Linked DNA regions of Drosophila melanogaster. The protein of the gene in region 1 interacts with the protein of each later gene in a pairwise test. Each region holds a gene or a part of one and is shown in the gene's direction. Other genes may lie near its edges.

Region 1 (10,999 bases):
GTGGACCCGCTCGTGCTTCTTCCTGCCCACCACGGAGAAGTAGCGACGATCGCAGTAGCGACAGGCGAACGGGGGCTCCAAGGTGTGATGGGTGAGATTGTGTGCCTTCAGCTCACTCGCTACCAGAAAGGTCTTTGGGCACTCCCTGAAAAATACATATTGCAGATACTGTACAAAGAAAAAGAATTTACATACATATGTATGTATGTAGGCACAATGTATGCTAATCAAATCGTGATAATGGACCAGATACGAAGAGATAAAGATAAAGACGACGGACCTATTTAAGTATCAGTAAATGTATATTTTCGTCGCGATTCTTACTTACTTGCAGGGATATGGTCTTATTCCATTATGTTCAAACTGATGCCTGACCAGAGATGATTTATTATTTTTGATAATTCCACAAGTATCGCACTTGTGGATTTGAACATTGGGTAAATCGTGATCCGACTCCAAGCCATCCTCATCCGGAAGATCTATTTCCTCCAGATTAACATCGCTATCGGTGGCATCCGGTTCATTGGAGATCTCCACCGGCTGATCAAATTCATCACCACCAACTGATTCACCTGCTGAAGCCTTACTCTCGTTCGTTACGACTATATCTACAATTTCCAGTGGCATCCTGGGTCGCCCCCTTCGCCGCTTGGTCGTTTTCTTCTTGGTTGAGGGATCATTGGGTTCCACCTTCTTTTCCTCGCTGGCTCCCACTTTATCACTTTGTAGCAATGGCACCCATTTCTTCTGCTGCAGGATGCACTGCCTCCGGAAAATCATGGCCGATTGCAGATCTGTCTGGCAGCAAAAGCACACCATATCCGGAGCATTGGGAATCTGCTGAAGCTGCAGAATACAAAAAAGGAAGCGCTCGCACATATGTAAATTGCGCGATCCATTTTGATTCCTTAACTCACGAGAATTCCGGTTATTAGTTGGATGCGGCGAAGAATATCCTGTCTGCCAGGTTTGAAGAGCTCCACGGCTTTGGGGCACAGCCTGCTCCTGCCGCAAACTCGGCACACATTTATTAACATTTCACGTTTTCGGTTTAAACAAATGAAATAAAAAGTTGTTTGGGGCTAATGTCCATTCACAGCGATGCGCACACACTGCCAGTGCTGTAAACGAACGGGCACATTAGATTTGAAATTACCCGCTAAGTTGAATTTCATATATTGCAGTTTTGATACTTATTTCTCAGGTAGTTAATAAAAAACCTAGATTGGGATGTCTAAATGAATTTCGGTTTTATTTGACTGAGTGTTTTGAACTACTGAGGCCAGGGCCATTGCCAAGTGTAAAATACCTTTCTGAATTTGGGGTCGAAAGAGTTAGGAATAAAGGAAGTCCTAGGCGTTGGAGCAGTCGTTGTCCTCGTACACCTTGATCATGTTCTCCTTGATCTGCAGTTCCTTGTGAAACAGAACCTCGCTGTGCAGCGCCTCCTCGCGTTCGCGGGCTATCTTGAGCTCGAGTAGATCGAGGCGCCGTTGCTCGATCATAACGCGATAGCGATGGAGCTCTTGCTGCCGCTGGCGGAAATTAGGCAGCTGGCTGGTACCTGCACTCCCGCTGCTGACGCTCGAGCACTTGTTGCCCCCAACTGCTGGTGATGGTCCGCCCTTCGTCCCGGCGGCCACCTTGCTCGTCGCAGTGCGCTGCCTAGTTGGAGACAGACTCCGCCGTGTTGCTCCCGTAAAAGAGGAGCTGGTGGGCGCCGAGACATGGACACTGATCAGTTCGCTGCGCGGATAGGGTCCTGGCTCCTGGACGGGACTGTTTTTGGGGACCTCCAGCTCGCCGGAGTAGCACGAATCCGTGTCGTTGGCCAACAACATGCGTCGGCGCTGGCCAAACCGAGGCTCCACCTCGCGCACCACACACGTCTGCTGCGGCGGCAGGCTGAACGTCTCCATCTTGAGGTCCGATACCAGTTTGCAGGACGTTGATCCCCGGGACGTGCTCGGGCATCGTTCAGGAGCCAGGTCCTTGATCCGCTTGTTTTTAAGCGACTCATGGGAGGGCTTGTAGCGCAATGCCAGGTTTGGCTTGGACGTCAGCACGACATCTGTGGTATTTTCGGGCTGCATTGCTGCAACTTTTCTTTCGCCACGCTGGCGCTTGTGGATACCATCGAAAAGACGCCGCCAGTAGATGATCGCCTGCTCTTTGGAGCTGATCTCCTTGGCCTCCGGCAGTGACGTGGCCGACGATTGATTGGCGTTCCAGTTTTGTTGCGGCAGGCTAACCGACATTTTGCCCAATCCACCTTGTTCGTTGCTGGCGTTCTTTGTTTCCGCCTCTTGCGCTAGCAACTGGCAGTTTTCGGTGGCAGTGCATCCCTTGGCCTCCGGCAGTGACGTGGCCGACGATTGATGGGAATTCCTGGTTGTTTGCGGTAGGCTAACCGACATTATGCCCAATGCACCTTGTTCGTTGGTGGCGCTCTTTGTTTCCAACTCTTGCGCTGGCAGCTGGCAATTTTCGGAGGTAGTGTGTCCCTTGGTGGGCACATCGGTCACCTGACTTCGGTTTAGGCTGCGCGAAGGAAGCCGCCGATAATTGACCAAGGAGTCGAATGTCTCCTCCTCCTCGTTGAGCTTCCACATGACGCGGCGACTGCTACTAGACATTGAACGTCCAAACCCCTCTTCTGGAGCAAAGAACACACATAGTTTTAACAACTTAAGGATGCCACACTCGGCTTGACTCACCCGACTTGTGGTTTTTATCCATGGAGATGGCTTGAGTTTTCCTCTGACAAATTAACTTCGCCACTGGCCTGCAGCAGTTCTGGTTTTGAATTTACAGAGCTTACAAATTTGGGAGGCCTGTCTGTGTGTAGCTGAATAATATCTGAAATTTTGGAGGCACAAAACGAAATACACCTATCATACTCGAAAAGATCTTATTGAACCCACGGCCTACTAATAACAGATTCCTTTTTCTTTTTTTCGATCTTTAATATTCATTTTCATCGAGTGTATATGTTCTTTTAAATATTGTTGTCGTTATTTTATTAACTATCCGTTTTACACGCGCTTTAAAAGTATGTTAACATTTTGCGTTTAACGAAATGACATAAATATTATACAGGTAAATTATTCAACGTAGGATGTGGCTTTGGTTTTCTTTCAGCTTCTAGCTTCCAGCTGTTTGGTTTCAGTAAAATTATTTCTTTTGTTTTAAAAGCATGAGATTTGTGGACTGTTGAGAGTTTTTGTTATCGATTTGTGCGTTATTTTGCTATGAAACCACACAAAGGTCTTATCAAATTATTACACAATCTTCGGTCTAGCTTAGAAAATGTTTGTGAACATTAGTGACTAGCATTGGAGGAGCTGCAATCCTCGGATCCTATCAGGCGGGGATAATTGAGCGTGATTTAAAGGGCGTTTCGAGTTGCCAATAGGCTGAATTGGGGAGAAGTGTAATGGAGGGTTTTCGCCTAGTTTTTAACACTCTATAAATGTTTTATATGATTTAGCTAATTTGTTGTTCGCTTTCTAGTAAACGGTTGCCCGCTCGGGTTTGCATTGTTTTTAGTGACGTCTTGAAAATGTTATTTACGCTATTTGCTAGGTTTATATAAAGTAGTTTCATTAAAGTACACACATGGTCTAGACTTTTAACTGGGCTTAATTATGTTGTTCTCCGCCTTTTGAATATTGGTATGAACTACTAAACGCTGACTCTTAGTGGTAATGAATTTTTTTAATGGCCTTTCGGCCATTTGTTTTTCATGATTTTGATGCTGACTAGATTTTGTGAGACATTCCACTGATTTTTTTACAATTCTTTTTAAGATTCGAGCTATCTGTGAACTATTATAAATTATTATTTCCACACATCAAATTTGTTTTTCGGCTGTTTTTCGATATTTTTCTTTTTACAAAAAAATTTTCATCTTAAAATTGTGAAAATTATTCAAGTTTTAGGTTTTGCTTGTTGTCTTATATTGGTTCCAATTGATGCTTAAATGTTAACAATTTTTGTATATAAAACCGTTAAATATATGTATATAAGAGTGTGTGTATGTTATCATAAACCTTACTATACATAATTATTAATATGCTACATATGTGTTTTGTTTTGTTTTTTTTTTCTTTCTGTTTGGTTTCTCTTCTCCACGGCCATGAGCAATTCAGCTGCCTACTGCTTTTCAAATTCATTAAATTTCCTTACACCGCATATTATCCTTTTTCGATCTTATAGATTGCTAAACTTTCGCATGTATATTTGCTGCTAGTTGGCTGTTGGATGTTTCTGTCTATATGGCTAATCATAAGTTACTGGACGACACAGCGAGAAAACGAAGACGATGGCATACCACACCTCGGTCAGGTAAAGGGCGATCTGCAGCGTGCACAGGCAGTACTCCAGGCGCAGTCGGTAGGTCTGGAGCAGCAGTAGATAGGAGACGCCCACAAAGCAGGGGGCGGTCATGAAGACCGACAGTATGGCCGACCAGCCTGTGATAGAAAAGCAGAAGAGTTCATTAGAATCTGATTGTAAAAGCCATAGATACTATTCTATTACAATTATAAATAAGGATGATAATGAGTTAATTAGTATTTCTTAAGTCTAATGGTTTGGTTTGATTAAACGATTGATAACGCCATTGAGGATGATTCTATTGTTTTAGAATATCCTATAATTAGACCAGCCAGCAGGCGGGAGCTTCTACCTCGATCGGCCAGCGAACTCATGCGCCCCATTATCAATCGGATCGTCTCAAAGACAATGAAGCTAATCATCACCCCCGTGTCCAGGGCTAGAGTATGTCCCGTGTAGCTGAGATTGATGGCCTTCAGGAGGCCCATGGCCATCTCGCAACAGGCGAACATGCCAAAGTAGAACGAGTTGAGGTAGATCAACACCTCGTAGTTCATGCTGGGATTTGGCTTCTTCGGCACGAGCGGTGGCGGACGCTTGGGCGGCATCTTTCTGCCGGCTTAGCACCTCCTTCTGCTGCTTCTCCTGTTACCCCTCGATGTCTACGGCAAATTGGACCGATTTGATCTCCCGGATCGCTCACACGGCGGCGTTGCTCACGTTGGGCACTGTATTTATAGACTGACCATAATAATAACGCGAACCTGCCGTGCTTGGCCAATGCAGCGGCAGCGGCATCGACATCGGCGGTCTCACGGTTTGTCGCTGCGAAATGTGCTGTTTATTTGAATAATGTGCTGCTGGTCGTTGTCGCCTTTTATTTGTTTTCTCTGCTCGCTGTTTGGGTCAGCATTGGCCGGCAGATCGCCTGCCTAGAAATGTGGGGGAGAATGATTTCACTGGCGGCTAGTTGGGGGGAAAAAACTACTAAAAACTCCCTGGGCGTTATGCTCTACAGGGCCCAGGGCCATTAAATGGTTACCTTGAAATTCAGGATAGGTTTAGGGTGAATATATGAAAACCATTGTTGGAATTTTAATTATTTTTAAAAACTCAAAGCGTTATGCCTCGCTAAAGTCCCGTGAATCTCTCTCCTGTGAATCGTACAGGGCATGTTCACTAGACCAAAGACCAAACGGAGAGCCCTCTCATCTTGGCCATTACAGTCAGGCTAACTTGCCCGCAGTGGGCCGTGTATATTACATTCAAATTAGAAGTGTACATTGCACCTAGGGGACAGCAGCGGTGTTGCACGAGCCGTGCAGTTCGCATATAATTTTAGACCATCAGAGCCGTATAAAAATACCAGAACCGAGCGGGTCCGAGGAGCAACTGCGCCAGCAGGGAGGCAACGCCACAAAGGCCGGGCAAAAGAATGCAACCAAGAAATGCAAATTAAATGCAGCTTTGCTTTTGATAGAATCGGACGCGTCGTGTTTCGCTGCGATGTGATTTCCGCGGGCGCGAATGATCTGTGCGGATTATATAAGTTTATAAAGGTTCACGTACCTTGTTGAAAGTCCTCCTCAACTGCCAGCCATTGGGTATGTTATCGGGTTGTCTTGGCACGGATTCCTAGGAGGTCTAGTAGGATCTAGATTTTTTGTTTTGTTTTTATGTGCGGTGGCTTAGTGTGCATTTAAGTGGCTTAGTTTTGAGGCCTTGGCGAATCGTTTGATGTGAAATTGCCAGAGGAAAGTGTTTCGTCTTCGTCGTAGTCGTCGCTCGGCTGTGGATGCTTCTACTCCTTCTCCTCCAGGTGGGAGTGTTAGTGCTGGCTTGGTCTTGATCTCGATCTTGGTCGTTGACGTGGCGGCGGCAACGCGGCTTATCAACTGCTAGGTGTATGTGACGGGGCGACACATTGTACAAATGAATATGCTGGCGTAGACTAGTTCAGCACCTTGTAGGGTGATCATTAAGGCACTCAGAATAATTTCGAGTTTGAGAACAAAGGTTTGAAAACAACACAAGTAGATAACAATAGCAAGACTGGGCAGTGTTAATATTACGGATGCGGTTGCTTGCCAGCCTGCAAAGAGAGAAAAACAAGGAAAATGTTAGCTACAGATGCACGGAAAATCGTATAGTTCGTCTACTTGTTTATAATTAAGTGTATTCGATTGAAAGTGATTCAGTGTTTTAAAGTATTATACTAATAATTTCATGTTTACACATTGCGATAATTAATATTAACAGCTCCAATTGCTTTTCCAATAACTCATTTCGATGATTCGCTTTGATAGATTTCCTTTGCATATTGCTTAATGTGCCAGAAGGGCGCCTTTCCCCTGCCACCATAAAACGCGTGTTTTCATCCGGGGTGATGACCATAATTACGCATACGCCGAGTGGGCTACATCATACATATATGTATGTATGCCCGTCCAAACGTTTATGGGTTATGGCCCCGGAGGTAGGGGGATGGCATGAAATGGGCATTGTGACCGGGCAAACAAATAATTTCGCCATGTCATCATCGCTGCCGGTGGACTTTTCCCACCCTTGCAGTAACATGGGGATCATGGGGATTACTCACCACGATCGCTTAGACTGCTCTTCCGCCCGAAGACAATGCGCACGGTCTCGATGATGCACAGTGAGAGCAGGATGCTGGCCTCCCGGGACAACGCGTTCTCGCCGTAGTTTAGATTAATCGCCTTAAGAACGCCCACGCCCACTTCGAAGGCGGCGTACATGCCAAAGTAGAACGAGTTCAGATACATAAGTATCTCATAGATGAGGCTGGCGTTCATGGTGCCCGCTACTGCGGAAACGAGTCCGTAACCGTTGCCGTATCCGTGTCCTCCTGCGTGGCGACCAGTTCCTCAAGGCGGCAGGTGCGTCGCCTCTAAATGATTGGATGTCACCTGGGCAGTTTGGAGCAGCTCCTCCCGCTTTTCCACTGGCAGCAGCAGGTGTTTCGGCTTCTCTACGCCAGCATTGGGACCTTTGGGCGGTACGTGGTGAGTGATACCTGCTGGACTGAAAAATATTTGCTAATTGCGGTCTGCTCGTATTTACCAATGCGCGCATACATACAGTCAAACTTCCTCAACTAGAACTTCATAAAATCAATCGAATTTATAGGTGGTTTTGCTGTGCCTATGTATCTACATATGTACATTGTATGCATTTATTTACTAGCATACCGTAACGGTAAATTCATTAAGCGACAATAGGGAGTACATATACATAAAGGTTTTAGGTTCTTAGAACCCATTTTCTTCATCACTAAAGGACACTTTTTATTGTAGTAGTAAAGTCGTATCTACTTATGGAAGTTTGACTGTATTTACGTATCGTCCTCACCTCTTCCACTGCTTTTTCTTCTTGTTCCCGTTCTACTTCGCCTTTCCTCTTCTTCTAGCTGCTCCACCGTTACTGTCTAAAGTCCCGTTGTCATGGGAGTAAGTGGATGTTATGTTATGTATATGAAATGCACGCAGGCGACAACTCTATGCTAATATTAAGTACATGCGTTCACGTTTATTTATACGCGTTGTTGTGCGTTGTTGTTGCCCGCTGGCCTGGCTGGTTGTTGTTGTTGTTGGTTTGTTGGCAAGAGACGAGGGGCTTATATAAAAAGGAAAGGAACCTCAAACGCACATGCACAAATGTGGCCATGGGCGAGTAACGGAGAAATTGCCGATTGCATTTGGAAAATGTGCGAGCCTGCGAGTTCCGGTCACACTGGAAATCACATATTATCCAATTGAGTTTTTCATTCGCTAAATATGTTAACATTTTCTAACAGCATCTTTTTACAAAGTACTCGTTTTTTTAACAAAATGGCTTTAAAATGGCTTTAAACATTGCAAAAATATTGTTATACAGAAAAAAGTTTATGTTCAATATATTAAAGCCCGCTAAGATCGTGCCATTAAAAACAGTACATTTGAGTTTACCGCCAAAGGTGCTGTTAACTGGACAGCTGATAACCAAATCGATAACTTTATGTTCGATACGTGCAGCGATAACAATAGTATTTAGAATCGAATCAGTTGTGGCATATCTATCTGAATTTATTGACCTATTTTGGTAAAATTGCTTAATTTACCTCAGGTTTTCTGGCTTTTCGCAATGCCGGCCGATCAAATTCAATACTCAGAGAAGTACTTCGACGACAACTTTGAATACAGGTACGTTCAACTTGCGTTTCAGCATCCGTGAACTGTTTGTTTACACACAAACCACTTTCCCTCCCTGCAGGCATGTTATCTTGCCACCGGATTTGGCCAAACATGTGCCGAAGGCTCATCTGATGACCGAGACGGAGTGGCGCAACCTGGGCGTGCAGCAGAGCCCCGGCTGGGTGCACTACATGGTCCACGCGCCGGAGCCGCATGTGATTCTATTCCGACGCAAACGCATTCCGGCAGAGGACGCTCCACAGGTGGCAGCCGCTAATGCGGCTCAGGCCATCGCGAATCTCTGCGGTTAGGCGGAGGATGCCATGCCGCCGAGGAATGCTCTTCCAAGGACGCACTCGTCAATGCTCACGTAGTATTTCATAAGTTAGCATCAGGCAGCCTGATGTAAAATAAGAAACCATAGCTTTAGGGTTCAGCTGGGAAGTTCAAAGACACGAAACGAACTGAAGACATCGTTTCTGTTAATTTCATTAAGTTTATTTACCTAAAATACAAATCGAAGCGTACGCCCTGTGTACAGACAGTTTAAAAGTAGTGTTTAACTAATTGACTAATTGTAGCAGCGCCATACCGCCGGCAGCAGGCGATACGTCCAACTCTCGTTGCTTAGGTTGCAGTTCTTTAGGGCGTAATGCTCCATGGCGTATAGTGAGATCAGCGTGGCATTTCCCAGGATCAGAGAGAACCACAGAAAGATGTTGCCCATCACTTTTGGAGCACTCCGCATTAGGAATACCAAGGCAACACCCACGACCCCAAAGAAGAAGAACATCACTGGGAAGAACATTTGCAGGGCAAAGCCGAGAACCTGCTCATGGACCACAGCGGAGATCATGAACACTGCCAGCGAGGCGGCCACCTTGGAACCTCGGAACACATGAGTGTACATATCCTTGTACACGTACTCGTACAGCCAGTCGTGCACGACGACATTCCAGTTTCTGTAGTAGCCATCGTAAGTGTGCGACGTCCACCAGTCCTTGTAGAACATTCGATCACCGAAGCGTAGCAGCTCCGACGTGAAGTTCAGCCACGAGTGCAGGATTAGGTAGAAGCCGCACAGAAAGATCACCGCGCTGGGCAGCATCATGCCGAACAGCTTGAGGATCAGCTGGGAGGGTCCCATTGGTTCCAGTCCGTACTGTCCGAAGTGCTCGTGGATGTGCCGCTCATGGATGAACGCGTACAGGAAGGCTATGGCCACCACCTCCAACAGTCGATTCAGGGCAAACTTCCAGCGGATGTGGGAGGTGCGCGGGTAGCTGTCTCGGTAGATAAGCGTGGGTGCAAACAAAAAGTACGTGTAACAGCTCAGCGGCGGCACAAAGGGTCGCTCACTGCCTTCTTTCTCCTCCTCCGCATCTTCCTTCTTGGCCTTGCCATTCAGAACGCGCTCAGCATTGTACCTCACAAAGGCGTGCATCTTCATCAGCAGTCGCGTGCTCTCGAGCAACAGGATACACGCACTCACAAAGGGCAGGTTGAACTTGAGGCACAGCGAAGTCGACACGAAACAGAAGACCAGCTGGGAGCTGATGTACAGGATGAGACAGCTGTGCGACCAAAAGCGCTGGAGAGAACCTGCAGGATTAGAAAATAGTTCAAAGAAATTACGTCCTTTTATTAATAGCATTTCTATATTCCTGCACTTATCTTCTCTTAAGTTACTTTACTTTTATGGGAAATGCTTTTTTTTAACAATCAGAGCAAACGCGCAAGTAAACGTTGTACAATTCAACCGAGATGAGTAACTGGTAAGTGAATTTCCTTTGTTAAAGGCGATGTCGTCACAATTTGCTGGTCAAGTGCCTCAACAAAAGGCTATGTTATGAGCTTTTAACTCTACCTGCATTTTTAATAAAGCAGATATGATTCCATAAATTATCATTACAATCCTTTATATAGTGACCATAAATTAATATTATAATTTTATGATAATTGGATCAACCCACTTACTGTGCGGTTTCAGTTTGTGCCTGACCAAGGCCCATCCGCGGAAGGCGAAATAGAGCGCCAGGACGAAGACATGCTCCAGCAGCCAAACGCCCATCACCCAGTGGAGGCGGCGCAGTCCGCCGCGGAAGGTGCCAAGTCCCAGATCGAAGCGGCCATCAACAAAGTAATCGTAGCAGATCACGTTCAGCAGGAACATGACCAGAATAATATAAAAGATGTGGTAGATGGTGCGCATGTGCTCCACCTGCAGCAGAGCGGTGAGGTACGATTCCCGGGCAACGAACACTTTTTCGGGCAGTTGTCGTCGCTGCTTACGAGCGGATGTTTCGCTTTGGATCGGTGGCCTTGGATGCGTGCCATTTGCATGGCCATTTGTGGAGTCGCTGACGTCTGCTGGCGCTTGACTGGTCACGCGATTGTGCCAGGTGCTCTTCCGATCGGATCTCTCGAAGTTGGGGAACTCGTGGGCACGCAACTCGCGCTGTCGCAGA
Region 2 (10,942 bases), on another chromosome or scaffold:
ATGGCTGGGACCGCTGGAGTTGCTCATATCCTCCTACTTCCTATACCAACAGATTGGAGTAGCTTCGCTGTACGGAATCGTGATCCTACTTCTATTCCTGCCAATCCAAACATTTCTCAGCCGACTGACTTCGAGACTGAGACACCAAACAGCGCTTAGAACTGATCAGCGGGTTAGGATGATGAACGAGATTATATCAGGTATTCAGGTGATCAAGATGTATACCTGGGAGAAGCCATTCGGGAGGCTGATCGAGAGACTGAGGCGCAGTGAAATGAGCTCCATTAGGAAGGTGAACTACATCCGGGGCACTCTGCTGTCCTTCGAGATTACCCTGAGTAGAATCGCAATATTCGTAAGTCTTCTGGGATTCGTCCTGATGGGCGGAGAGTTGACGGCGGAGAGGGCTTTCTCAGTTACCGCTTTCTATAATATCCTGCGACGCACGGTGTGCAAATTCTTCCCGAGCGGCATGTCGCAATTTGCAGAGATGATGGTAACCCTGCGCAGAATTAAAGGATTCATGATGAGAAGTGAGACTGAAGCTTTGTACCTTAAAGGTGGACAAACAAATAAGCTTTTCGAAGGGGAGCCCCTTGTGAAATTGCAATCCTTTCAAGCCCGTTGGAATCATGATCACGTGGAACCCGTTTTGGAAAACATTAACATCAGCTTAAGTCCACCGCAACTGGTGGCTGTCATTGGACCCGTTGGTTCTGGGAAATCCAGCCTCATACAAGCCATCTTAGGAGAACTTCCTGGTGAGTCGGGAAAGCTAAAGGTCCAGGGAGATATCTCGTATGCCTCTCAGGAACCCTGGCTATTCAATGCTTCCGTTAGGGATAATATCCTTTTCGGTCTACCCATGGATAAGCACCGATATCGTAATGTCATAAGAAATTGTGCTTTGGAAAGAGATTTCGAACTGCTCCACGGCGATCGCACTTTTGTGGGTGAAAGAGGAGCTTCCCTATCCGGAGGTCAGAGAGCGAGGATCAGTTTGGCAAGAGCTGTTTATCGCCAGGCGGATACATACCTTCTCGACGATCCTTTGAGTGCTGTGGACACCCATGTGGGACGCCATTTATTCGAGGAGTGCATGCGTGGCTTTCTCAGGGATAAGCTGGTGATTCTGGTGACCCATCAACTGCAATTTCTGGAACATGCCGATCTCATAGTGATTATGGACAAGGGAAAAATATCGGCTGTTGGCACCTATGAGGAAATGCTTAAAAGTGGCCAGGACTTTGGGAAACTTTTGGCCACGGAGGCTCAGGAAATGGGCGATTCTAATCAGGAACAAGTTAATGCAGAAGGCGATTCCAGAAATGATAAGTCGACCTACTCCCGGCAAAGTAGTCGTGTAAGCAGAGTCAGTGTAACTTCGGTGGATTCCTCTACGGAGTCTATACTGGACAATGAAAGACAACCTGCTCAGGAGTCGCGATCCCAAGGGAAAATTGGATTGGGCATATATGGGAAATACTTTTCCGCCGGCTCTGGATGGCTAATGGTCATCCTGGTTGCCTTCTTCTGTCTGGGCACTCAAATTTTGGCTTCTGGAGGTGACTACTTCCTTTCCTACTGGTAAGTATGCTTAATTGAACTATGTTGTTCACAATTAATAAATCTTCGTTCACAGGGTTAAAAACAACGACTCCTCTTCATCTACGGACATTTACATCTTCAGTGGAATCAATGCAGCCCTAGTAATCTTTGCTCTGCTTCGAACCCTGCTCTTCTTCAGCATGGCGATGCACTCGTCCACCCAGTTACACAATACCATGTTCCAAGGAGTCTCCCGCACCGCTCTGTACTTCTTCCATGCGAATCCATCGGGCAGAATCCTCAATCGATTTGCCATGGACTTGGGGCAAGTGGATGAAATCCTGCCCGCAGTGATGCTCGATTGCATACAGATATTTCTTACAATCAGTGGAATTATAGGAGTTCTGTGCATCACAAATCCGTGGTATTTGATAAATACCATCACGATGTTCTTGGCTTTTCATTTTCTTCGCACATTCTACTTGAGCACTTCGAGGGACTTGAAAAGATTGGAAGCCATAGCCAGATCCCCTATGTATTCCCATTTTAGTGCCACTTTAAATGGCCTATCCACCATCAGAGCTATGGAAGCTCAGGACTTACTCACCAAGGAATACGATAACTACCAGGATATCCACAGTTCCGGCTACTATACATTCCTGTCCACAAATCGAGCCTTTGGTTACTATCTGGATCTGTTTTGCGTGGCCTACGTCATATCGGTAACCCTAATGAGCTATTTTAACCCCCCCGTGGATAATCCTGGTCAAATCGGTTTAGTTATTACCCAGGCTATGTCCATGACGGGGACTGTTCAGTGGGGAATGAGGCAATCCGCTGAGCTGGAGAACTCCATGACTTCTGTGGAAAGAGTGCTAGAATATAGGCACCTGGAAGCAGAGGGAGAATTCGAGTCCCCAGACGACAAGAAACCACCGATGAATTGGCCACAAGAGGGTCTGATCAGTGCGGAACAACTAAGTCTAAGGTACAACCCCGATCCCAAGGCAGATAGAGTCCTCAAGTCACTGAATTTCATTATCATGCCACGCGAAAAGATTGGCATCGTGGGCAGAACTGGTGCCGGAAAGTCCTCCCTTATAAATGCCCTCTTTAGGCTGTCCTACAACGAAGGATCCTTGGTGATAGACAACACCGATATTCTTGGAATTGGGCTTCATGATCTGCGCAGCAAGATCTCTATAATTCCCCAGGAACCTGTGCTATTTTCCGGCACCCTGCGCTGCAATTTGGATCCCTTTGAACAGTATGCTGATGAAAAATTGTGGGAGGCCTTAGAAGAGGTGAGTAATTACCAAACCTGACAATCATAACTATAATTAAACCATTTTCCCTCGCCAGGTGCACCTCAAAGATGAGGTATCCGAGCTGCCGAATGGCCTGGAAAGTGTGGTTGCCGAGGGCGGATCCAACTACAGTGTAGGTCAGAGGCAGTTGGTCTGCTTGGCCAGGGCGATTCTCCGCGAGAACCGCATCCTTGTGATGGACGAGGCTACCGCAAATGTAGATCCCCAAACAGACGCCCTCATACAATCCACCATTCGCAGGAAGTTCAGAGATTGCACAGTTCTGACCATAGCTCACAGGTTGAACACGATCATCGATTCGGACAGGGTCATGGTTCTGGACGCTGGTACTCTAGTGGAGTTCGGATCACCATTCGAACTACTGACCCAATCGTGGAGCAAAGTCTTTTACGGGATGGTGCTCCAGACGGGTCGGTCGAGTTTCGAGCACCTTCTGAAGCTGGCACTTGAGGTCAGTAGATGAATATTTATTAATTTTGTTTTGTTGGTAATGCTTTCTTTGCAGGCCCACGAAAGAAGACTGCTATCTCAATGATTAGAGCGTATATAATTCAAATATATTCCATTTTCCATTTTTTTTGTTTCTTAAAAGCCGATTGCGATTAATGAGAAATACAATTTTTTGATTACAATGTTGTTATTACAGTATTGTGGTATACAAACAAGAGAGAATGCTATAGTCGAGTTCCCCGAAATAAATCCCAAGGTGCATCCCATAAAACTACCTTATGTAATAGACGGAGGATGACATAGGCCACCTCCTCCACATAGTCGAGTCTATAAAGACCAAAATGTTAGTTGTTGGCTCAACGCATGTTGGCTCGGATTCAAGGAACTGCTAGGACGCGGGGAGTCTCAGGTCCATTACTTTACAAGTAACTTACTCGGGCGGATTTCGCGCACCTTGCTTAATCGGGTTGATGTACTTGAGAGACCCATTGCTGTTGCCACCCAACACCTTGTCGTTGACAGATCTGCAAAATAACAATAGATTTTTACTCTTTGCCCAATGGCAACCCGTTGTATGTCACATGCTCAACTCGCTTGTCAAGTAACATCGATATGCAAAGGGATCCCCATTACCTGTGGACCTCCAGATAGAGTCCGTTAATGTTCATGGACGACTCGGGATCCATCCTGTTTTGAAGATAACGCACTCGCTGTTCCCATTTTTATCGTAACAATATTTACCGAAAAATCACAATTAAAATTTATGTCAGTCTACATAAAGAATTATATATCAGTGAACTAAAATGGGAGACCTGCCAAAAGTTTGAAGTTTTGAGGCTGTCAACTTTTTCAGTGCTATAGTGATTGAACAACGCTCCAGTAGCCAATCCTTTGTTAAAAATATAAAAAAAAATAGAACCCTGTGGAAAGATAACGATATCCGTTGTTCCCCAAAAGCAAATATGTATATCCAAAGATGAACATACATTTGTTTTAAGCGTTTATTAACTCAGCTTTACTTTAGCTATACTTAAGCTACTTACCCATCAGATTAAAAACAAGAGAGAATGCTATAGTCGAGTTCCCTCGCACAGCTGGAAGTGTGAACGAGAAATTTCAATATTTTTTGGAATATTGGTAGAAATTGGAAACAAAATAATAAAATAAAAATTTAAATGTTGCTGAGAATGTGGGCGTGACAGGTTTACGCGGCTTGTGGGCGTAAAGTATTTTGGCATATAAATTTACAAAACTAACATAAAAATCAAAAAATAGTAAAACATTTTTCAAAAGTTTGGGCATGACAATTTCGGGCTGTTTATGGGCGTTAGATTGGAAATCGGTTCTACAAAATTGCGCTACGTCTATGTCTCTAGAACCACTGTTCTTAATCTCAACCTTCTAGCTTTTATAGTTCCTGGGATCTCGACGTTCATACTAGATCGACTGATCCTGATCAAGAATATATATATATGTAGTTGGTCGGAAACGCTTCCTTCTGCTTATTACTTACTTTTCAACGAATCTAGTATACGAATATCGGGTATAAAATTTATTTTAAATATCTTTGTTAAATTTTATGAGCTGTTGATAACGAAATCGAAAAGTTTGTACTTTTTTTTAAATCAAGTGCATTAAAATTAAATTTGTGGCTTAAAATGTATTGTAATAGCTTATAACTTATTATGCTGTAGCATACGAAAAATGGTTCTTAAAATCCTAACTTGCATGAGTTGAATATTTCGAAATTTCAAATGTTCCCGGCTACTTAGTTGTAAAGTGTGGCCGTTTCTCCTACATCGAAATCGATAGGTTCGAAATGTAAACAAACATGGAAACTGAAACTGAAGCGCAGAAATTGTATTAGCTATGGCCAAAAATGTAAAGAAATTAACGTTGGCCAACAAGTTGGCAAAACGCGGAGATCTTATAAAACCCACGGAAATAAAAAGTCGTCCAAATAGGGCGGATAACGTGAGGGTAGGCGGAAATGCATGATAAACAATGAAATTGATACTCAAGACGCAGTTTCTAAATCTTCCAGGATATAGAGGATCTGGTTGGTGTATCTGCTGGCGCAGCAGGATCGAGTAGCTCAGTGTTCTTCTCCCCCGTGCAAACCCGCAAGCAGCGTCTCTTAAATGGGGAAGCCGTGAAGAAAACTAACATTAAAATGGAGCCCTTGTCTCCAGCTCGAGTGGCACCCAAAAAGTTTAGAAAGGATGATCGCATGGTAACCAGAGTTCAAATGGGTTCGGCTACTGTGGTCATATGCAAGGTGGTCCCTGATGCTGTGGACTCCCCAGTGAGAGTGGATAAGATAAGAGAGGAGGTGGAACCCCAAATAAAACAGGAAGCTCCGGAGGATTCCCCTTCTTTTTCTGAGGTGCAAGCACCACATCCTTTGTGGTTTAACCACCTAGAAAACATTCGCATTATGAGAAACTCCAGAACTGCGCCAGTGGACACCATGGGATGCCACCGATGCGCCGATTTAAAAGCAGACTCGAAGGTATTTCCAATAAGTGGAATTAAGTACATAGAAGAATATGTTACAAGCAAACAACTTCCTTGCAGACCCAGCGCTTCCAAAACTTAGTGGCATTGATGCTGTCCAGTCAAACCAAAGACCAAACTACTTATGAAGCCATGAATCGCCTTAAAGACCGAGGTCTAACTCCACTGAAAGTAAAGGAAATGCCAGTGACTGAACTCGAGAATTTACTGCATCCCGTATCCTTCTACAAGGTTTGGTGGAATTAATAATAAATAAATATATCGCACTTACTCTCGATCTCTTCCAGAACAAAGCTAAATACCTCAAGCAAACCGTGGAGATACTGACGGACAAGTATGGTTCGGACATTCCAGATAATGTCAAGGACCTTGTAGCTCTTCCAGGAGTTGGCCCCAAGATGGCCCATATATGCATGGCAGTGGCCTGGAACAAGATAACCGGAATCGGAGTGGACGTCCACGTCCACCGCCTTTCTAACAGGCTGGGCTGGGTGCCGAAGCCCACCAAGGAGCCCGAGCAAACCCGTGTGGCGTTGGAGAAGTGGCTGCCATTCAGCCTCTGGTCAGAGGTCAATCATTTGTTCGTGGGATTCGGACAAACCATTTGCACCCCAGTGAAGCCAAATTGTGGGGAGTGCCTGAACAAGGACATTTGTCCTTCAGCCCATGCTGAAACTAAAGAAAAAAGGAAGAAAGACCGATAGGAAAGAGGTTCAGCGAACGCTGAAAAAGGTTTTAGGTTTCTAAGTGTTTCTGAAATTATTAGTGCTAAGAAAAATATTGTGTTACCCATAAGAAAATAAATGAATTATTAAGGGGGCTGTAAGTCCTGTAAAAAATAAAAAATTTTGTGGTTTTTCTTTTTTTGTTTTAACTGAAAAAGGTATATTCCCAATTTATTACAATAATTCAGTTTTTCAGGAAAAATATTGAAATATTGACACTACAATATTTCGTATTTCTTATATACTAAATAGATGTTATTCCTACGTGTTCGACCTACGGCCACACTATCAGCTCTACGTTCGCGCGTTTTATTGTTTACCAGCGGCCCTTGTGAAATTATATAGAATACTCAATTACAAATCCCTCAAAAGCCAAGAAAATGAATGATTCATGTAAGTATAGCCCGTAGCTCAGAGAAATTAAGGGAACTAATAACGAAGCTCGTTTTAGTTGGAGATTTCAATGCCACACAAACTGCGCCAACTGGAGCCGCCAGCAATCAAAAGGGAGAAGTAAGTGAGTGAGACGCCAGTAAAGTTGCACAACCTAACATGATTCCGTATGATTGCAACTAGGGAATAGTGCCCCTGGTGGTGAAGCAGATTGTGGACGCCCCAGAGGGAAACATCGAGTTGTTCGGCATGCAGTACGCCATGGCATGTGTTGTGGCCATAGTGCGGAACGTGGAGACTTCCTCGACGAAGATCACCTACACCCTGGAGGATCATAGCGGCAGGATCGATGCGCACTACTGGCTTGAGGAGGGCGACGCTCTCAAGGCACCCGAAGTAATGGTCAACAACTACGTGAAGGTCTACGGCACCACCCGGTCGCAAGGCGGTTCCAAAACCCTAATGATCTTCAAGCTACTGCCCGTTTTGGATCCCAACGAGGTGTGCACCCACCTGCTGGAAGTACTCAATGCCCGCTACAGGGCCGAGGACTACCAGAGCAAGGGTGGAGCTGGAGCTGGTGCAGGGGCTTCTTCCGGCTCAGGCTCCATAGCTGATTTCACCGCCTCCCAGAGCTCGGCCATTGTCAGTGGGCTGGAGCCCAAGCAGCAGGCCGTATTCCAGGCCATCAAGAGCAATGTTTCCGAGGAGGGCATCTCCCGCAAGGAACTGAAAGCCAAATTCTCCCACATCAGCGACTCTGAGTTGACGTAAGTTGTTTATCCAAAACTATTGCATCATTTGATATTCTTTATTAATTAATATTAATTATAACATTTTATTGTTCCTATTTTTACAGCAACATTCTGGACTTTATGATTTCCGAGGGACACATTTATTCCAGCATTGACGCAGATCACTTTATTTGCACAATGTAAATCAAATCGTGTAACCACTATTTAATTTAAAAATGCGTATTGAATATATGTATTAAGTTTTTGAAAAACGGGAACATTTTCCATATATTAGTTGTACATTAAATATTTCTTATATAATCAGAAAGTGATTTTGGGATATTTTTTATTGGGACTGTTGAAAATGTGTATTTGAGGAAATCTTGCTCTTCAAGTTGCCGGTGTATGTGTATATTTACGGCTTATCATATGAAAAGTCTTCGGATTCATAGTCCTAAGGGAATTTAAAATATCTTACAAAAAAGATAGAAAACCTGAAATATTTTAATTATTTTATGTTTAATTAATATTCTTGTTCATTTATAAAATTGTAATGGATTATAAAGTTTTTTTGAATCGTTTCACTTTGCTTCATTTGATAAAAGGATGTGATAAGTTCATACCGCTTTATTTCATTATCAATTTATTTTTTAGATATATAACTAACTAACTTTTAACGCTAGTAAGTTAATTGTTTAATTAGGTAATGCATATTTTGATTGTATATCGGGCATAGTTAGATCGGATTGCAAAAAATTTATAAAATTCATTCAATGCGTTTTATTTCATTAGTTTTTGAATTTATCATAGAAAATTACAAGCTCAGGAATCAAAATCAAAACATAATAGGCATGCAAATCAAAAATTAAGATTAATATTTGTTGTGGGAATTTATAGCGCAAGAGAGCATTCCCCTTGGTCCCCAGGATCTTGCCAGTGAAGTTGAACTGCGCAAGTGTAAGGATTCATTTTGCGGTCGGAGTGGATAGCTAATTGTATAAAAAACCACCTTGGGATACTGATTAACGGGCACGAAGACCTTTTGGGTAATCTTTATCGGCTTCTGCTTGTACACGTCTGCGTATAACTCCTTGCCGGGAATACGTCCAGTGCCATAGACACGGTCCACAGCTGCAATGTGGGATTAATACCATTAAAATACCCTGTAAAGGGCCGAATTGATTTTACCCTCGGCAATTAGCAGTGCGCAAAGTGGAAACTCCGCGGACAATCACTGGCTCTCCTCGACCAAATCGGCGAGAAACTTTTGGGTCACCTCGTTCAGACGCGGCTGGTGGTCGTGGGAAGGTGGCTGTTTCAAAGGTAACGCGCTTGCTGTTCCCATTTTTATCGTAACAATATTTACCGAAAAATCACAATTGAAATTGATGTAGACTGAATAAAGAATTATATATCAGTGACTTAAAAAGGGAGACCTGCCAAAAGTTTGAAGTTTTGAGGCTGCCAACTTTTTCAGTGCTATAGTGATTGAACAACGGTCCAGTCGCCAATCCTTAGTTAAAAATATAAAAAATAGAACCCCGTGGAAAGATAACCATATCCGTAGTTGTTCCCCAAAAGCAAATATGTATATCCAAAGATGAACATACATACATTTGTTTTAAGCGTTTATTAACTCAGCCTTACTTTAGACATTTACAGTCATACTTAAGCTACATCAGATTAAAAACAAGAGATAATGCTATAGTCTATGTTCCCCGACTATCAGGTAACCGTTACTCAGCTAGTGTGAATGCAAACGCGGAAGTTTCATAATTTTTCTGGGATATCGGTAGATATTGGGTAATAAAATAAATAAAAAAAATTGTTCTAAAGTGTGGACGTGCAAGGTTTGGCGACTTTAGGGCGTTAGAGTGGGCGTGGCAAAAAGTTTTTTGCAAATCGATAGACATTTATAAGACTAATACCATTATGAAAAAATACCGAAAAACGGTTCAAAAACGTGAAACGTTGTGGGCGTTAGAGTGTGCGTGGGACATGGATCAACAAACTGCGCTGCCTGTATGTCCCTAGAATCTTTGTTTCTAATCTCAACTTTTTAACTTTTAAAGTTCCTGGCTTCTCAACGTTCAAACGGACGGACAGACAGACGGACATGGCCAGATCGACTCGACTATTGATCCTGATCAAGAATGTATATACTTAATATGCGCGGAAACGCTTCCTTGTGCCTGTTACATGAATATAGTATGAATATTTTTGGAGGTTATAATAACATGTATACTCATTTAAATAAAATAAAAAAGTTTGTAGAAGCTCGAATAATTTACATACATTCTGGCACTCTCCGTAACAGTGGCGCCCTCTTGCTCGCCAGCTGTTCAATCTCACCACAGCCCAGCTCAGCGACTCTCAGCTGCTTAAAGTCACCACAAGTCAGAATCTCGCTCCTCAGCTCCGTTCTGTTTTCATTCCGCTTTTAATTCCGTCGCCTGCCGGCTCGGCTCGGTATTATCAATGAATTAAGTTTAATTTACCTCTGCTCAGTTTAATATAAGTACAGAATCGAACAAAGACCTTGGGAAAATGGAGAACAAAAATAAGAAGTGCCTGCGAACCCTGCTACTGCTGGCCCTCTTTTTGGGACTTTTGGGTAAGTAATGCCAATATTTGCGATTAGTTGGGTAAATGGGTTTTGATCAAGTTGAATGAACTCTTTGTGGTAGGTAGCGTTTGGCGATAAACAACAACATTGACAGTGCCACACCTCCGCCTACGCACACAAACAAAAGGCCGAAAGAGAACTTTTATCTGACACACTTTCCAATTGAAGCAGCTGTTTTTACAGTGGGGCAAGTAACAGTATTGAAGGTCAAGGAAATGTGACCTGCACAGGTGTTTCGTTTTGTTTCTGTAAAGTTAGACAAAAACGTGCAGTTACCCGACCCTGAATTGTTAAAAACCGAAACATAGATAAACATCATCATATTTGTTCCCAAAGATCCCCGGATTTAAACACATCCACATCGACCTTTGCTATCTATCACCCCATCCCTCCTTCAGATTATCACTCCCTCGTACACGTTGCTTCCACTATTTGCCTTATCGCTGCCCACTGTGCAGGGCCACTTGTTGATAACCTCGACCCAGGCTTAGTAAACGACGAAAATACATATCAGCATGTAGCGCTGCTTCTGGGTGAAAGTTATAACAATTCGTTTGACTAATGACGTGTTCTACTATTTCTTTTCGGCCACATTTCTGTAGAGGATGGAAAAACGGCCCT
Region 3 (10,999 bases), on another chromosome or scaffold:
TCTGCGATTTAATGTGAGCCAAATTACGCCCCGTTGCCTTGCAAATGGCCTTCATCAAGGTGGTCTCGGCAACGCCCAGCTCCAGTCCCTCGTAGGCGGGCGCCAGTTGGTTGATGCTGAGGTAGACGCTGGGCACAAGATCCTCCGGACTGACCAGCATCACAGAGCAGAAGAAGTTGCTCAGCGTGTCGATCATCTTGAGCCGGCCTTTGGTCTCCTCGATTACTTGAAATGTGCGGGCCAGTGCCAAGTAGGGAGTGCTGGAAAGTGTTTCCTTTGATATAATTCGCCTTGGAGGCTCAAAATCCTGCACTACTTACACCTTTTTGTCCTTCCAGTAGGCATTCTTGAGCGGATGATAGGAGTCGGCGGATGGATCGTAGTTTTCCACATCCTCCTTAGTAGCGGCAGTGGAGTTGAGACCTATGGTTGTGACCTTCTTGTCAGTGGTCTTGTCATCGACTTCCTTTGGTTCCTTCTTAACATTTTTCACCGGACTTGTCTTCTCCTCGGAATCCACAGACATAGGTTCTACCTTGGGCTTAGTTTCCGGGGAGGCACTTTCGCTCTTGATGTGGGGTTCATCTGGGAGTTCGGTCTTCGCATCAATCCTATGATTTGTCGAGGAATTTAGTAATGAAACAAGAAAACAGCGGCACCATTTACTTAGGAACTTTCTTGGGCGGCGAGGGGCTGTCGGTGGCATCGGATTTCTTCTTGAAGAAGGAGCTGAAACGGGGGATTGTTAGATTGGCAATACTTAGCATTTGTTAAATCGTAAATTACGTTATAGACTTTTGCATTTTGTGGCAATTCTGTGTTCAAATAAATACAAATTGCAATGCAATTAGTTCCCGCCAGTTTCTAGAGCTGGTCTTCAGTATCGATATATTGAAATGGAAATGCTATCGAAGTTGAAAATTTTATTAGTAAACATAAATTAAATGTTTATGCTACATAATTGAGAAATATTATTACGTACAATTGTGGCCATTTTTATATGCAAGTCAATCGACTTAATATTTCTCAAACAAATCATTAATAGACAAAAGGAAGAGTTTATTGTCATTCGGTGTGACCGCAGCACAGTCGTTGATAAACACGGGAAAACATCCACGGGGCAGTGTGACCAGAGCGCCGTTAAATTCACAAATAATTGCAATTCGCAATAGCACAGCCAAAACTGAAGATTACATACAATTTACAATGGCCGACGAGAGCATCACGCGAATGAACCTGGCGGCCATCAAGAAGATCGACCCGTACGCCAAGGAGATCGTGGATTCGTCCTCGCACGTCGCCTTCTACACGTTCAACTCGTCGCAGAACGAGTGGGAAAAGACCGATGTGGAGGGAGCCTTCTTCATATACCACCGCAACGCGGAGCCCTTTCACAGCATCTTCATCAACAACCGACTGAACACCACGTCCTTCGTGGAGCCCATCACCGGCAGCCTGGAGCTGCAGTCGCAGCCGCCGTTCCTGCTCTACCGCAACGAGCGCTCGCGCATCCGCGGCTTCTGGTTCTACAACAGCGAGGAGTGCGACCGCATCAGCGGCTTGGTGAACGGGCTGCTCAAGTCCAAGGATCAGGGAACGAATGGCCAGGCCCAGCGTCACGTCTCCGCGCCCCAGCAGCCAAAGCAGGACAGCAGCCAGCCGGCCAGCATATTCAACATGCTGACCAAGGCCCAGAAGGACTACAATGCCCAGGTGAGCGGCGGGCAGCCGAAGACGCCTTCGGCGGAGAACGTAACGGCCGGCAATGTGTTGAAGTTCTTCGAATCGGCCAAGCAGGCCACGGCAGAGTCACTGTTCCACCGCGTCCAGCCGCTCTCCGTGGACCAGCTGGAGAAACAGCAGCGGGCAGCCACGCCTGGCGAGGATCTGTTGCCCCCGGCAGGCAGGGACAATCACGAGAGCCGGCTGTCGCCCTTCCAGAAGATGCAGCAGCTTAACATTCAGCTCCTGAGCGACCTGAAGATCGGTAAAAGCTACGCTACGGCTCAATCTCCGACAGTCGCCCCGTCCTCGTCGGCGCTGATGGCCAACGACGATGCCGGCAAGTGCTTGCGGAGACTGCTGGCTGGCGACAAGCCCGGGCCGGCCCTCATGCCGCCCACCATGTTCGACGCGCCCAACAACGGCAATCCGGAGCCACAGCAGCCACAGCAGCCACAGCAGCCACTGCTGAACTCGACGCAGTTCGTCCAGGCCTTCACGTACCTTATCCAGAACGATAAGGAGTTTGCCAACAAGCTGCACAAGGCCTACCTGAACGGCTGTTCCAATCTACTGCTGGACTCCAGCTCCACATATCAATAAACAGAAATATTCAACATTTCCGAATTGCAGCCCATATTTTCATTTGTTCGCATGGAGTTCGAGTTCAAGCCGAGTTAATTTACAAAATGTAATAGCTGTAAGCCGACAAGGGCAGTCGTAGATTTAAAATCTAGAAGCCCCGCCGGAGAAGGACGGCATCCATTTCCAGAGCAACCTTAAGAGTTAACTAACGTAGTTGGTTTTGTGAAGTATTCGTATTTATTTACAAAATGGTTAACTAGGCCGAAGGGGCGTAGAAAAGGTAGTTGAATGGCAAACAGAATTCAATAAACATTAATTTAGTAACAATAAATAACAACGCTTTTATTTAGGCCAATACCTTCAGCTTGCAGAGCAGGTAGTACAGAAAACAAAACAGCCACAGGCTGAAGTCGACGTGGCTCCTGCCCGCCGCCGCGGACGTGGCCACCGTGGTCAGGTTCTTGCCGTATCCCTCGAAGGACACCACGCACTGGTAGGCATCGGGATCGTCGTCGGTGTCGTAGGCCGCCACCACGGCGCTGCCATCGAAGTATCCCTCCTCGTTCTCGTACACCATGGGCTCCCGCTTCACCACGTCCATGTCGTTGGATCTGTAATAGGAGCGGAGTTGAGTTGGGACGTTGTTTACTACAAGGCTGTCTTACGACAAGGCAGGCGCTCGTCCTTACATTATCGTGATGGTGGGCCTGGGATACACGTTCGTCACGGTGCAGTTCAGCTGCGTCTCATTGTGGATCGTCTTGTGGGACAGCTCCAGGGTGTAGTTCCTCAGGTCTATGACCTGAACCCTCTGGTGGCTGGAGAAGGTGTTCAGCGAGGTCTGCACCACGCACTTGTAGTCGCCGGTGGTGGCGATCGTGGGGTTGATCAAAGCCAGCGAGCTGTACTGCTTGCTCGGCTCCGTGGAGCTCTCATAGGTGCTGTCAATCTCGTTCCTGAACTCGGGCTATCAAGGAGGGGAAAGCGGTTAGTATCTTAAGCGCACCACACCGTTTGGTTCACTCACGATGGCATATGGAGGTGTTCCGAAGATCCACTGGTATATGGACTTGTCGTCTCTGTACCATTTGACGGTGATGAACTTCGGGCTCTCCTCCACCTCGTAGTCGCAGTCCAGGATCGTGGGCTCCATCTCCTCGTTCTGAAGGACTATAATCTTGTCCTCGGACTCATCCCTCGTGGGATAGCATAGCGCATCTGGGGGAGAGCGAATATTACTGATTAGAACGCAGAATTCAGAAACGAAACGAAAAGCTTTTAGCACGACGAGGTCTCGAAATTACAGAACACGCGCGGTATTATTTGGAATATATGTACATATGCAGCACAGGCAAATCCAAAACACATTGTACACAAAAATCTATATAATTTGGCGAAAGCGTATATTTACGAGAAGCGAAAACGCGATGAGCGGATGCCTGTTTCGTTTTAAAAATAGACACTAATAACAAACAAAAGCTAGAAAATTGAACATTTTTCATTCGGCAGTTTGTCATCATGTGTGCCAAAATTCTGAAAACTCTGTTCAATTTTATTAGGTTCCTTTCGCTGGAATCTTTTGCTTTCCACTTAGCATCTATTGCTCCGACTTCAAAACCACTGGCGCTTTTTCCACATTGAAAAACATATAGTTTCGAACACGAATAATTGCACGTAAAATCCTTCAGCCCGTTCAAATCCACAAATTAAAGGATAATCGAATCTGCACATATTGTTTATATATTGTTTATATATTGTTTATATTCCGTTTTAGCACATGTTAACTCAGAACCGAATGTGGATATACGTTCGTATTTATAGATATCCGATTTGTCATTATTTTTCTCAAGGTTTGCGCATTCGAAATTCGTTTATATGCGCCTTCCGAATGATTTCATTTCTTAATTTAAAAATCGCGTTTCCCATATCGGTTGCTGGCTGGATCGCCACAGGATCTGGCTGTACCTCTGTGGAGCAGTCCGATGGCCAGAATGGCGATCAGCAGGGTATCCATAACGGTCACTATCCTATCTACACTTCCACTTCCACTCGTATGCCAGACTTCTCAACCGATCCTAACTCAGCGGTCCGCTCGGCATGGTACAACTAAGGCAACTAAATGCTCTTGGCCGCCAGAGAACCGAAAACTGAAAACCGAGAAATGAGGAACGAGAGCTCTTGGCCAAGACCACGCAGCGTAACCAAACGAATTCGAATTTAGCCGAGATAATGCCGGCACTTCCTCTCCGGCACACGATCCTCCTACCCTAACCCTCCTCCTCCTCGCATAGCCCGTGCCACTTGACTTGTGCGCGACTCTCGGAGCACAAGCACGATCTTTGCATGGACATGTGGGGAGATCGCTCCGCAGCTGGCCAGGCACCACCACCAACCAAGTCGCCCTGCATGTGTGGGGGTTGGACACAACCTTTCCGCTTCGATACTCTCCGCTGCTCCTAGCTGCCGTTGACTATTTGAAAACCAGTTGGCCGCCCAGCTGAGGCGCACTCCTACAACTAGGGATAGTCGAGGGTAACATGCAAGACCGTTAAAGGACAGGGGGTGTCGAGCGTAGTCCTTAAGGACCTTTTCTTCTTCTCGACCGAAGTTAAGGGCTGTTGTAACGATTGGCGTTAATAATATGCTGTCTCCATGGCAATAGGGATCATTAACATTCCTGTAATTCTGTTGAAATTCCGATAGAAGGCATTTTTAAGTCGAATTTCTCGAATTTGTTTACAATTGAATAAATCTTAGGGTATTAGCCGTTCAGTTACTCATAGGTTTAAGTATATCCATATGCTTGAGTTTTTGTAAAGACTTAGTTAGTCGTTCCAACTCGGTGATTAGCAAAAGAAAAAGCCTTCACTATACCAAGTTAGTGTGTAAGTGCAACACACACCTATGCATGATAAACCCTTTTTCTTTACTTTATGTTTTCCAAACTAACGTTAGTTGTTTTCAGAATGACTCAATAGAACCTGATACTTGTTCGATGCATGTAGTTCCAGGCTCATTTGCACCCACAACTAGGTTGAAACCTACTTAAACTAGCTTCCCATTTAGATGCTCTATAACTAAATAATATGTTGCTGTTTTTACAGGATTTTCGGGGTGGGTTTGAGATCGGGTTAAGCAAACAATGCAGGTGGGTTTCGTTCAGGTCGATCACCTCCAACATCTGGTTACTATACTATTTATTAAATGTAAAATGAGTTCATATCTTTGCGTTTGATACAATTACAATTGGAAAGGTTATAATTTTACACATATATTGGATATATTTTAACCTAAAATGTAACACAGTAACTTATTCCAAAACTTTCGGAATGTCGTAATGTTGTATTATTATGATTGCCATAACAATTCTCCGATTTACATAGACTTGCGATTTAAGTAATGATTACTACAAAGTAGAGTTTCTTTTTGCACGAGTGTTAGTTTGAGCATGATGTGCATCTATTAGGTGGCTTTGTTTTCCTAGAGACTTAGTCGTTCCAATTCGTTGATTAAGAAAAGAAAAGGCTCACTCTACCATGCAAATGTGTAAAATCCACAAAGGCAACTAAGACCATTTTTCAACTGGAAAAAGAGGCACATTCTAAACTTTTACCTCGTATGTTTGACTAAACTGATCCCAATGAAATTGTTTCCGAAGATAGATACATTGAATTTGGAACTGTTTTTCTTTGAAAATTTAACTAAATGGCTTCAGCACATGGAACAACCAGCCTATCCTATTAGCAATCCAGCATTAGGGTGTCCAAAAAAAAAAGGACTTCAGCGCAGAGTAAATAAAAATTAGGCAGGACTCTGATTAGCAGGAATTAACTAATCGAAATAATCCGCAGAGCAAATAATTGTTTCCGAAAACAGGGGTTGTATCCTGCCAGTGACTTTAAACAATGTTTCAATCAGCCCAATGTTATAAACAAGAAAAGATAGTAAGGTGTCTCTTATCCATTGTGTGCGGTACAACACCATTTGTTTTATCAAGTTGGCGAAGTGCTGTACTCGTGATGACGGACTGTCCGATACCCTTTCCATTTCATATATGAAGTTTAAATATATTTTATAATTTATGTTACTTTGGCTGTTCCTTAAGAGTTATTGCAACGTAAAGAGGATTTTCATTTTTCTTACTTTTTATATTATCCCAGAGAAGCATTTCCTTTAATCGCTCAGACAGGACATCCCAGCGTCATGGTTGCCCGATAAGCCAATTTAATCTTCTGAGTGTTGCTTTTTGAGGCCTGTGAAAATTGGTGCACTCAAAGAAAAGTTCGCTTAAAGATGGAGCTTGGAAAATATTCAGATTTTGAAGAAATATTCATTGAAAAGAAGATTTCTGAGTGAAGATTAGATCAGAGCCAACAGACAGCGATGCAATCAATGAAATTAAAACCAAAACCAATTCTTTAGACATGCTGTGACAAGTCAATTGGGGAAATGCGGTGAATTTTCGCGCAGTGCACGACACGCGCCGGAAAGTCAGATTTCCACCCCTATGTCGAGTGGAGCTCGTTAGGACCGCCTCCAAACGCGGAAACGAATGAAATTTTCCGTCCCGCTCTCCCGAGACAAGTGCAGCATCCTTGTTCGTCCAACGTGGATGTCCTGTAGTTGATACAATCGTAATCGAAGCTTATTTATTCAAGGGCAGTTAAAAGTGTGTGCGGCCGCGGAGCTACTATAACTATGTGTTTTATGGCCGAATGACTCATTAGCGGGCTGTAAAATTTCAATCGAGTGCCGTGTGTGAATTTACCTGCAGATGCGATGGAATTTTCACTGCTCAACAAGGCGAACTTCGACAAGGATTGTTTGTACACCGCGAACTCGGAGTTCTACAACAGCGGCGCCAATGGAGGAGGACTCTCCGTGGCCAATCACATAAATCACTACAACCTCATGATTGACTCCAGTTACAAGCTCTGCGCCAACGAGTCCGCAATCCGGGGTTCCCTCAACCAGGAGTCGAGCTTATTGTTCTCCAAAATCACCACTGTCTCCGAGTTTTACCCGGCCACCCATAACATTGGCTCCTACAACACGGGTAAGTACAGTGGCCATCAGTTCCACCTGCAGCCAGTGCACCTGGATGGATCGATTATGGATTGTAATCTTGAACCAACTCTCACCTCGCCATAGACTTCCATTTGAAGTCCTATGGAGACGACGGCTTGAGCCTGACCGACAAATCAAAACAGAGGCGCATTCGCACCACTTTCACGTCCAACCAGCTGAACGAGCTGGAGAAGATCTTCCTGGAAACCCACTACCCAGATATCTACACCAGGGAAGAGATCGCATCCAAGCTGCACTTGACGGAAGCTCGAGTTCAGGTGAGGAAAACTAATGAGATTGAATTGCTGGTTAAGTGAGTGGGTAGTTTAGGATACACATATTTCAATAATTAACATATAACAAATAATACTTACATAATATAATATAACTATTGAAAAGAACTCGATCTGCTGTTGATAGGTTCAAATATTATAGGTTTCTCGAAGCCAGCTTACAATCGAAACGAATTTAGTCATATCCTGTTGAAGGATACAAAACGACTTAGTAATCGAAATTAAAAAAAAAAAAAACCATTGTGTGTTTTAGGTCTGGTTCCAGAACAGAAGAGCCAAGTTTCGCAAGCAGGAGAGGCATGCCATTTACATAATGAAGGACAAGTCGAGCAAATTGGATGGCCGGAAGAATCCTGTAGCAGGATCGAAATACCTGGGCCCATCTCTCAAGGGACCCCAGAATGGCCATGGCCGTCAAATGAAATGCTTATACGATCAAATATAGAATCCACTAATATCTATGTAAATATTAGTATACATTTTGATGAATGCAGTTATTTTGATATTATTTTTACTGACTATTTGGAGCGAATTGCGTTAAATAAATAAGATCTGTGTAACACTTTGCTTGTTTTCATATCATCCGGGACAACTGGCTTAGCACCCTTTTGAGGGCTCAGCCGGCTAAGCCTGTGGGAAGAAAAACAAGGACTTGAATGGGGGTTGAAGGGTCACCATCTACAAGTACCAAACCTCACGCCCTTCAGGGGTAAATTGTCATCCCATTATCGGGTGGAAAAAGTGGATTGGATCGGCATTAGGGCGTGTAATCAGTTGATGGTGGCGATTCGGTGCGCTCAATATAGCAATTGTTGTGGAGTGCCCACCGCAGGGATTGGCGGTGAATACCTTTCAGATCTAATTAACAAGATCAAGATTGAATTGCAGTTTATTGAAATCATATGTGCCCAGATGTATAACTTAATATTGCAATTTATAAGTAGTGCCCGCCTTTCAACACCCTCGAATGATTTTAATAAACTGTGAAATCGTTGTTCATTTTACATTTTTCTACACTTCATTAGTGAAACGTATATACAGATATTAAATATATACATAAATATACAAATATCATTTAGCCTTTTAACTATATATAAAACGTACTCTTCCGTTTTTTAAATAGTTTTGTTGCAATTTGATTTGATTATTTTATGTGTTTTTTCATTTAGAATAAAAGAATTCAAATTAATTATTTTATTCAAATATTCCAAGGACATTTTCAATTCCATCGTTCCCGGAAAAAGCAACATATTATAAGTCGAAATACCCTCAATGCTTTCGAATACGAAAATACCGCTATCTGCGGTATTAACTGGCGAACGCGCTAGGGATTTTGTTGCTCTTTTGGCCAGCTGCATGTTATTTGTTAATCGGCTGGTTATAACACTTTATGAATTAAAAAAGACAATTGACAATGCTGCGATCGAGGATTTCCTGCGCACTGCCACCCAGGAGACTGGTGTCCTACTTCTCGGCGGAATTCAACAAGGTGGCGCACGAGGGACCGGCTAAATTCGCCGCAGGCAGCAGTCATGCCGTAACGAGTGTGGATTTGGATGTGTTCGTCAATCCGGATAACCGTCCCATGGACCTGGTGGACCGGCTGCTCAAGCTCAGGTGGGTGCGGCCATATTGGAAGTAGTGTCCCTACTCATAAGATAACTCTTGCAGGAAACAGAAGGAGGCCAGTTTGGTGCCGCTGATTCCCAGTGTCTTGGTCAAGCAATTGCTGGACTCCACCAATCCGCAGGAGACGATATCGGTGCTCCGTAATCCCATCCAGTACGGGCTCTTTGTGGACCAGTTCTCTGGCTGCTTCCTGTTGGACTTCCTGCTGCACAATGGCCACGCGGTGGAATCTGCCCAGCTGGCCACTATTCTCGTGGACAGAAACTTATGCAACAACGAGTTGCTGGAGTCCCTGGCCCTACAGTCCTTCTGGTCCTTCGCCAAGGAGTTCAAGCCCTTCGAGTCCTCTCAAGTTCAACCTCCTGCCAAAAATGTTGAAGTGGTAAGATGATTTTCGATAGTGGCTGAATTATCAGCTAAGCGGCTGGAAACTTTATTCACTCATAAATAGCTATTTAAGATTTTGTTCATTTTGGCATTTTACCAAGTTTACTAATCATACCTGAATTTGCTAGGAAAAAGTTCGCGTGAAGTTCATTCGCAATTACCCCGACGACGCCAGCGAAAATACCGAAGAGAAGAAACTGGGTCGCGCCATGGTTCGATTGGGCTCCGGCGAAGGGTCCTTGAAAGAGCTGAAGCAGAACGTTGCCCTACTTGGCTATGTCCTAACCGGACAAGTGCCCGAGGCCTCCAGCTTTCTGGCCTCGAACTCAGCTGCCCTGCACAAGGAGACTCTTTTAGCCGCACAGAGCATAGTTGAAAGCCTCAAGCTGGAGGGATCCGAAGAGCTGCTGAAGTCCCTGCAGGAAGCCGTTGAGAAGAGTAGCAAATCGAATGCCATTCAATCGCTACTGGAGAACAGCGTCAAAGCCAATGTGCAGAAGTTTGAGCCCAAACTGCTGGCCGACTACGGCGAGTCGTATCAGGAGTGGGCCAAGAAGTTTGAGGCAGCGGTGCAGCGACAACTGGATTCGCAGAGCGTGGAGGAGCGTAAGGCCACCATCCAGAAGACCCTCAGCGAACTGGAGGCGAAGCGGCAGAACCTGTGGTTCTTCGAGAACCGGGACGACATCGACATCCAGATCTACAAGAAGAAGGTCTACTATCCCAAGCGCTGGTTCGGCAAAAAGAAGAAGCCCAAGGCAGCAGACACCTTCTATGTGCCGCCGACTATCACGCACAACGGCTAGTGGACAACCCGTGGACCCACGACAACTCCTGGCCACAAACAAGTTAGATCCAATTGTTTTTAAGCTTTAATTAAACTACTGGAGAGTTAATCCAAATTCAAATGTTGTTTCTTTTCTCGAACGTTAAATTGTTTAAAATTACCATAACGTAACATTGAGGGTCACAGTTATATTCATTCCATCTCAGTTTACAACATTTTTTTTATACTTTTTCTTTGGAGTTTCCATAAATTTTTGCATCCTTAAAAGCTAATCGTCTGTCATTTGTGCATGGCCGAGGGCAGAGCAGTTTTTAAAACCCGCTGCCCGGGTGCTGAAGGGGATAGATTGATGGGCGAGGGCATGTCGTGCCTCTTGTCCTGTATGGTCAGGGGCAAGAACTGCTGCTGCTTCTTTTTCCGGTTCATGTTCATGGGATGGGTGTTGTCGTTCTTGCCGAACAGAATGGTCAGGTGGACAGCACAGAAGATTCCCAGGCTCTGTGCGAATTGGTTTTCAATTTATTATTGG

Evidence for each region.
Region 2: the proteins of Cks85A (region 1) and RPA2 interact in a two-hybrid assay, tested with the Drosophila melanogaster proteins (one large-scale study listed by BioGRID).
Region 3: the proteins of Cks85A (region 1) and PHDP interact in a two-hybrid assay, tested with the Drosophila melanogaster proteins (one large-scale study listed by BioGRID).

What each region holds. Positions count from the first base shown.
Region 1 is NT_033777.3:8,713,280-8,724,278, reverse strand, and holds Cks85A (Cyclin-dependent kinase subunit 85A), read left to right. Parts: upstream 1-5,822; 5' UTR 5,823-5,942; exon of another isoform or gene 5,943-6,236; coding exon of another isoform or gene 6,237-6,430; intron 6,431-6,937; coding exon of another isoform or gene 6,938-7,154; exon of another isoform or gene 7,155-7,383; intron 7,384-7,710; exon of another isoform or gene 7,711-8,036; intron 8,037-8,399; exon of another isoform or gene 8,400-8,463; 5' UTR 8,464-8,481; coding exon 8,482-8,540; intron 8,541-8,610; coding exon 8,611-8,842; 3' UTR 8,843-9,079; downstream 9,080-10,999. Other genes in the region: nom (numerous disordered muscles), read right to left, coding at 1-145, 329-846, 918-1,037; CG8136 (uncharacterized protein), read right to left, coding at 1,353-2,656, 2,718-2,739; CG11760 (uncharacterized protein), read right to left, coding at 4,282-4,475, 4,691-4,946; TMEM216 (transmembrane protein 216), read right to left, coding at 6,237-6,430, 6,938-7,154; CG8112 (uncharacterized protein), read right to left, coding at 9,103-10,133, 10,509-10,999.
Region 2 is NT_033779.5:20,922,053-20,932,994, reverse strand, and holds RPA2 (replication protein A2), read left to right. Parts: upstream 1-6,847; 5' UTR 6,848-6,948; coding exon 6,949-6,961; intron 6,962-7,019; coding exon 7,020-7,081; intron 7,082-7,144; coding exon 7,145-7,731; intron 7,732-7,820; coding exon 7,821-7,899; 3' UTR 7,900-8,020; downstream 8,021-10,942. Other genes in the region: CG9270 (uncharacterized protein), read left to right, coding at 1-1,587, 1,643-2,852, 2,911-3,327, 3,382-3,411; Nthl1 (Nth-like DNA glycosylase 1), read left to right, coding at 5,196-5,306, 5,371-5,838, 5,904-6,074, 6,131-6,547; Mtp (microsomal triacylglycerol transfer protein), read left to right, coding at 10,243-10,309, 10,924-10,942.
Region 3 is NT_033778.4:23,880,400-23,891,398, reverse strand, and holds PHDP (putative homeodomain protein), read left to right. Parts: upstream 1-6,958; 5' UTR 6,959-7,086; coding exon 7,087-7,363; intron 7,364-7,458; coding exon 7,459-7,652; intron 7,653-7,920; coding exon 7,921-8,112; 3' UTR 8,113-8,263; downstream 8,264-10,999. Other genes in the region: DNAlig1 (DNA ligase 1), read right to left, coding at 1-260, 321-611, 667-729, 787-803; DCP1 (decapping protein 1), read left to right, coding at 1,207-2,325; CG5597 (uncharacterized protein), read right to left, coding at 2,654-2,918, 2,997-3,274, 3,335-3,525, 4,273-4,321; CG4882 (uncharacterized protein), read left to right, coding at 9,082-9,284, 9,339-9,678, 9,812-10,489; TM4SF (transmembrane 4 superfamily), read right to left, coding at 10,750-10,968.